2 linked regions of the Lytechinus pictus genome follow. The protein of the gene in region 2 purifies or fractionates together with the protein of the main gene of each other region. This does not show direct contact. Links are inferred from orthologs where the notes say so. Each region holds a gene or a part of one and is shown on either strand. Other genes may lie near its edges.

The links.
Region 1: the proteins of S-phase kinase-associated protein 2-like (region 2) and F-box/WD repeat-containing protein 2-like purify together in Homo sapiens (affinity purification with western blotting; 4 studies listed by BioGRID). This does not show direct contact. The link is inferred for Lytechinus pictus from reciprocal best matches to the Homo sapiens genes SKP2 and FBXW2.

The regions. Positions count from the first base shown.
Region 1 is NC_087245.1:43,999,499-44,003,432, forward strand, and holds the start of F-box/WD repeat-containing protein 2-like, read right to left. Parts: upstream 2,670-3,934; 5' UTR 2,455-2,669; intron 945-2,454; 5' UTR 870-944; coding exon 538-869; intron 1-537. UniProt on the Homo sapiens protein: Substrate-recognition component of the SCF (SKP1-CUL1-F-box protein)-type E3 ubiquitin ligase complex.
Region 2 is NC_087255.1:4,700,291-4,704,224, forward strand, and holds the start of S-phase kinase-associated protein 2-like, read right to left. Parts: upstream 2,653-3,934; 5' UTR 2,640-2,652; coding exon 2,442-2,639; intron 1-2,441. UniProt on the Homo sapiens protein: Substrate recognition component of a SCF (SKP1-CUL1-F-box protein) E3 ubiquitin-protein ligase complex which mediates the ubiquitination and subsequent proteasomal degradation of target proteins involved in cell cycle progression, signal transduction and transcription.

The sequences.
Region 1 (3,934 bases), on a different chromosome or scaffold from region 2:
ATTGATAGATAGAGACATTGAAAGGCAAGTCCATTTTATTATAATTACAGTTACTACAAGACATCTCAATAAATGAGGAAGTAAGTTTTCAATTTGTAACAATAGCTGGCCAAGCTTTTTAAACTTCTGTATTAAACAGTTTCAAAACATACATTAAAAAATGCAAGCCAGGTCACCAGCTCAATGCATTATACATAGTAAAATACAGATTTAGTTGCATTTGTGGCTTCCTGCATTTACCCTAGTTTGAGGTCTTGCATATGCTCAAAATTTCTTGTTTTTTGCTAGATTTGGTTTGGGAATATGGACCTGACTTTCAGATTCTGATTGAAATTACAATATTATCATGAAATTTGAAAGGTCTGCTTAAAATGCCTTGTTCAGAAAATATAATTTCTCCAATCAGAACTTATGATATGAACATTATATGACAGAAGATGATTTTCAAATTTCATATACTCCAATCTTGATTTCAGTTTGCATTGCAATTACTAGAATTTGCATTTGTAGATAAGAGTCCTTTGGATCTGACGTTACCTGCAAGACTGTTGCCACGCCTCTGTACACTCTGTCACCATTTTGTTCCAGTGATGACTGACTTGACAGCATCTTCCAAGAGTTATAGGATCAAGCCAAGACAACAAATAGTTTGCTAGTTCCTTGGGCAAAAGTCGCAAAAAATCCCTTTTCAAGAGTCCTTCCAATCTAGTGGATAAATGGCGGAGTTGTACATCCCCCGATGATGCAATAAGACAGTCTAATGCTGAGCAACGCTGCTCATTATTCAGGTCTTGAACAAATGTTTTCTCCATGTGACATAACCAGTTTTTGAACTCAGTACCATCCATGTTGATAAATGGTTGTCTCATCTACTGGATTCCAAACAACACATTCTCCATACAACACAGGCTCCAATTTATATTTCTTGCCAATGCTCACCTTTTCTGTCATAAAAAAAAATGATAGGATAAAAAGAGGAGATTGATGCCTGATAAAAGATTTTTTTCAAAAAGAGAAATTTATAAATACAAAATAAAAACATACCGGTAATATATAAAGAGATGTTGAATGCATTGTGATACTGCGTGTCCAGTAAAACATGTAACGACTGTCCACCAAACATTGATTTTATATCATTTAATATAAAAATGGTATACTTTATACATAACGCATGTACTGGAAAAAGTACAGTTGTGTCTGCAAGTTTCCAGGTCAACATGTACATGTATGTATTAGTCAATTTGACATTTTCTCAACCTAGAAATGTTCTTTTCGATGAAGTTTTTTTCTTGATTCGTGTTCCTATGGGTAGAGGTGGGCAAATGACAAATTTTTTTAAACGGGTGGATTCCATGGTCATTTTTGCCGCTGAACACGAATCCGTCAACCAAGACGCGTATAAGATCGGGCGACGATATCATGAGCAGTGCCAATTTAAAAAGAAAATAAAAATCAATCGGCTGATGAATATCGTGAATTGTAAAATACTTGCATTAGCCAATAAAAACGCGTCTTGTAACTAGGCTACGAACAAAGAAGGAAAATGGCGACAAGATCATCGGTGAGTATCTGCTCATCTTCTTACATAATTTTTCTTAAATATTTCTAATATTTATAGTTTTTAAGTATAAATAAATGTACGTAATGGGAGGATTTGAACTTGTTGTCCATGTACATAAGTGTGTGGCTAGCAAGTTAAACAAATCAAGTACCGGTATATTGGAGCAACATTGTTTTCTCCAAAAACTCTCCTTCGTGTGGCCCAATGCCTTCCCGTGCCAGGCGTCATTGGGAGTAAGCCTACGTACTACGTAGTAAATAATTTTTACTCCCAATACGCCTCCAGGCTACTGTGAGGAGCCAAGGAAACATATGTCACATTGATAATCAACTTGGCTGCCAGAAAATGTGCAGATGTTGCTACATTTAACTACATTGTGCATCCATTAATATAGAATTTAGAATGAAAATTTGAGCCAAATTCACCTATTGACTTTTTTAGCACATGTCTACAGCATAAATCTGGTGCATTGGCATTGCCCACCCTAAATTATGCACCGGTAAATAAGAAAAATGCTATATGGCCTAGGGCCTAGACCTATGCCTTGCCCTGGCCTGGGCTTGGCCTTGCATCGGAAATTTGAGTGTAAATGGGGGTCCCCTCCGCGGCACATACCCATTATACTGAGTGCCCCCTCCGGGAGACTGCCAGCTGTCTAGTCACTGGCACTAGCCACGGCACTAGCAACAAATGAGTTAAAACTTAATACTCGGCGATTTAATTTGCTCCCAGTCCTACGGAATCACATGGATTTGTGATATTCCTATTTGTCATGTGCGCATAAAAATCACATGCGCTGGTAATATCAGTGTCCTCCTGACACACACGCATAACAATTAACAAACACAGTGACTGACTGAGACTGAGTTAGACAAAGTCACAGTCGCACTTACACAGCCGTAGATTCTGCAACTTTTGTATACAAGTTGATAATCCAGATTCCAGAATTAGTTATTCCCTCAGCCTCAGGGCGACAAATATGACGAAGCTAGACAAAAATCCCAAATGATGTCTCCAAGTCAGGACCAAGAAGAGTCCAAACGCTGTTAATACACAGTTTCACACCAAGCCGGGTGCGGTGGCGTATTTTTTATTTACATAAAATATCACTGCTCAGCTCCGCGGCCGCCAAAATATTTTTAAAAAAACACACAGAAACGGCTCGCGCAAGAGTCTAACAAGTTGACCACACACGTTTCGTCGTACGTGCACATCTAATGTATCTCCCTGATTTCGTTCATAATAACTTAATCATTTAAACAAACCTTATGATTTCAATATAGATACATAGCTTTTTTAAAGCGTTTAGTTTGTTGGGGCCTAATCCGCTTGCATTACATGTGTAGGAATCGTATGAGCATTTTGTTCGTAGTTATGGCACCTCCAAACATTCATGGTATAACATGAATGAAAGAAATAAATAATAAACAGATAAATGATAACATTCAATTCGCAGCTAGCCAAAGGCTGAATAAAGTAAATTTGTATAGAGTAAAATATCAGTATTAAAACAGATAGTAAAAAAAAAACAAATAGGCCTACAACGTATATCAATGCATAATATATGGAAGAGGGTGAAGATAAATATGCATTCCGAGAAAAAAGTAATGTCAGGAACTGAGAAGAAAGGGAAGAGATTATGAGAAGCCTAAAGTTATCATAGCATTTTAACACAAGTGTAAGAGTAGAAATGATCAATATATGTTTTAAAATAAGAAACATTAGTTGAACTGTATAGAGGTCACTAACCCAGTATGTACAACTTTGTTTATGTCCACTTGTTCACTATACGTCACACTCACAATTAAGGTTTCTTCCATGAAAATTACCATTAAATAGGACAAGTCCACCCCAAGAAAAAGTTGATTTAAATAAAAAGAGAAAACTTCAACAAGCATAACACTGAAAATTTCATCAAAATCGGATGTAAAATAAGAAAGTTATGGCATTTTAATAAAGTTTCGCTTAATTTCTCAAAACAGTTATTATGCACATCCTGGCTGGTATGCAAATGAGGAGACTATGACGTCATCCACTCACTATTTCTTTTGTATTTTATTATATGAAATATTCTAATTTTCTCCTCATTGTCAAGTGATAAAACGATTAATTCCTCCCTGGTCATGTGGAACTAGCATTGTTTCATACTATGTGGTTCAGTCAAGTTGGTCCTTATTGTCAAATCTATAAAAAAATGAAATATTGTATAATTCAAACAATAAAAAACAGAAGAAATAGTGATGGATATCATCGACTGACTCACCTAGTTGTGCATATCACTGTTTTGTGAAAAATAAGCGAAAATTAAAATGTCATAACTTTCTTATTTTATATCCGATTTTTATGAAATATTCAGCACTATATGCTAGTATG
Region 2 (3,934 bases):
TCTGATCGTCTCCAACAGGCCGTTCCCGATACTCCCCTTCTAGCATACCGACGCCCACCGAATCTCAGGGACCTCATTGTTCGTGCTGAAGTGCCCTCCCTCACTAACCATTCTTCTCCCATACAGCATGGCACCTTCAAATGCACCAGCAACAGGTGCATCATATGTGAATTACACCTTCACGAGGGCGATACTTTCACCAGCAACTCTACCAGCCTGTCTCACCAAATCAAGGGCAACATCACATGCACTACCACTAATGTTGTATATCTCATCACTTGCAGAGTTTGTAGGGTACAATACATAGGGGAAACCAAGACCACACTCAAGAAACGATTCTACGGGCACAGATCCACCGTCAACACAGCAAAGCTGGACACTCCAGTTGGCCGCCATTTTAACCTCCCCAACCACTCCATCACTGACATGATGCTACAGGGCATCGAATCTTTAGGTACCCGTCCTGACTCAGTCCGTACTAGCAGGGAGAAGCTCTGGATGAGACGACTTCGCACCACCCAACCTCATGGCCTGAACATCCAAGAGGGGAACGACTGATTTTTCTTTCCTATCCACTTTCAATTTATATATACATATAATTTTTCCCCTCAGCTCTTTTGAATAGTTACATTACAGTTTCTTACTCTACTTTCCTCCCATATCTCATACAAGCTCAGCTCCAATTTTTCCTTCCTTATTCAGGCGATATAATAATTATTATATATATATATATATATATTTGTTTTTTCTCCACTCACCTCTTTTAGATTTACCACATTTGCTTATTTACATGTATACTATGGTTTCTTCATAATACACCCCCTCTCTTCTATATTTGCTTTTACCTTTTTAGGCAATTTGCTTCCTCTTTTTCACATATACAGATTTTTTTTTTTTTCTTTCCTACTATATAGTCTTATGTTTTTTCCCGTCACACCTAGCGGATTACCATATCAGTTACACCATATGTGTATATATTTATATATTTTTTCATATACATTTCTTTTTTGGATATATTTATATACATATCACTTATAGATACATATTTACACTTACCTTCTTCTCTTAGTTTGTTTAATGCTTTATCATATATACTTATATGTCTTTTGCACATTATCAGTTGTTCCCTATTCTTTTTCTTCTTTTTCCCCCCACTCTTATGCACCAGTTTATTAAGCCTTTCTTTGTAACCTGTTTGACCCACCTCTCACTAATTCTCTAGTTATTCATCCCTCTATCACTGTTTTGTTCCAGATCCTGTTTGATGTTGCCTGCCTCATTATCTTAATCCCTCTTGGCCTTACTTACACTAACTTCCCTTTGTGTCTGCCTACTCCTTTTCTTTCATCCCCTTCACTAACCTGATTGGTCTTCTCTACTCACTAATGCCCCTTTTGTCTCCTTGTTTCTAGTGACTAGTGTTGCTGTAGCTTGTTTGTGGTCTATATTATGGTTGTTCCACTTTATATGTTTGTCATTTTGCCTCCGACGAAGATTCTGCTAGGATCGAAAGCTTAGGCCCCTTTTTGACTTTATAATTTATCATTATTGTAAGCTTCATTGTTTCATAAATGTTTATAAAAACTCTTTAAAATCAAACTTTTTTATCAAATGTCATGCAAAAATCATGTTATAAAAAAAGAAGATAGGCCTATTTTATCATGGGCTCCAATTTGTATAGAGCAGGCTTACAGCCCACATTATGCACATAAGTTTTTTTATGAAGTAATGCAAATCTTTAAAATGACAAAACTTTATATTTGGCTCTAATATATCATCACCTGGCTGGCAGAAGGGCAGTATGTTGTGTGTGCACGGTGATTTTCAATTCCAAAAGGGTGTTACTTAAATCTCAAGCATGCACTATGCGCCAATTACAAAGTAATTGATCAATTCCATAATTAATTACATTTTTTTAGTAATTGTGATAATTGTAATTGAAGTTTTGAACGGAAAAGTAATTGTAATTGAAAAAAAATGTAACTGACTTCAATTACTGTCAATTACTTTTAATTACATTCAATTACTTTACAATAAACTTACTTTAAAATTTATGATTAATTCCATGACCTATTTCATGTCAACTGCTTCAGCCTCAAAGAGAGTAACAGGCAGAATTCGTGCCCTTCAACCTAAACCTTCATCTCGTCAGTTTCTCTGTAACTTAAAATTATGTTGAAATAGGTGGTAATATGTACAGAATAAAAATTGGTTTCAGTTATGACTTTTCTAGAAAGTAATTGAAAATGTAATTGCAATTGACAAAAGCAATTGGTAATTGTAATTTAATTGAAAAGTAATTGTAAACTGAACATTTCTTCAATTAAATAATTGTAATTAAAGAAAGTAATTGAGCCCAACCATGCTATGCGCATTGTACAGAGTGAGAGATCACGCCCTTCTGCCGGCCAAATCTACATCAGTGACTGCGAAGGAGTTACCTTTTGGTCTGGTGGAGTTTTTTTACTTTTCTGTTTCTGGGTAATCTTTTTCGGCTCTGCCTTGTCTAAAACTTCAACTCCAAGATCCTCATAGATTTCATGGGTTAAGTTAGGGTCAAGGTCCCAAATAACCCCTGGCCTATCATGACCTCCTAGGTCATCCATTGTGATGTCATTGACTGCCAGTTGAGAAGACATGGCTGTCCCAGTTGATGCCTACAAAGAAAAATGAATTTTATAAAAAAAAAGGTTAAATTAACTGTAATTTATAAATGTAGGCCTCTTAACACACCCCTAAAAATGTCCCTCTGACATGCGGCTGAATTGTTCCTAAATTAAATGGTAACATAACATGTTTATTCTCAATTAAGGACGTTCCACAGTTAAAATGAAATCCATGTCATTTTCACCAAACTTTGCACATAGATACTTTGGAACCTGAATATTTGAAATATGCAAAAATCAACATAGGTCCATGTGCTTGATTTTTTGCTATAGAGCTTCAAAGTTCATCCAACTGGATGTTCTTACGAATTGCGCATTCAAAAGAATTTGGCATTTTTAGACCTTGCAAGATCACTACAATGAGTTTTAACCTGTTACTCAGTCTCAATACATGAAAAAGTCATCAAATTTCGCAAGAGAGTTAATAATCGTATCGTTAGAATGGAAAATCTATTTATAGAGCTATTTGTTTGCAATTTTAAGTCTAACAGCACTGTCAGTTCTTAAAAATGGCGTAAAAATAACAAAAACCCAATCTAAAAAAAGTGAAATTTCAATAACAAACTACAAAAGTACAATAAGTGCTGCACTTTATTCAAAATCCATGTCATTTTCACCAAAAATTTGCAAAGTTGTAGAGGAAGGTATACCTAAGAGGTGCAAACATTAAAAAATAGGGCTTCATGTGCTTGTTTTCAAACTATCAGCATTTTCATTAGAGCAAATGTGCTTTTTAAAACACAAAAATGCGCCAAATGCTTTGTATCTATTTGAAGAAAAAATTAAAACCACTCTACCATTTATTCAAACTCAGAGTCATATTCGTGATTTTTGGCAGAACTGCAGAGTAAAGTATTTTGAAATTGTAGAGATGTTTTTTAAAATGGTCCATGGAATAAGTTAAGGTTTTTAGCTTCATAAAACAATGCATCGGATCTGCAGTTAGAGTGCAGATGAGAAAAATCAGTTCATACCCACAGCAAATTAATCACCTGTTCATCCATTGTGACGTCAGCGCGCGGAGTGTAAAATATGCGCATATCTAAATGCGCACAAACATAAGTGTGGAATGTCCTTAAATGTGCAGAACTAGAAATCTCATTTAAAAGTTCTAATCACCCTCCGGCTATGTTTTTTTGTCCAGTTAAAACTTGTGATGTTATTAAAATTATCAAAGGACTAGATGCTAATAAAAGTCAAGGTTATGATGGTATCCATCCGAAAGTAGTAAAGCATTCTGCCTTTGCAATAGCCCAACCACTGTGCTA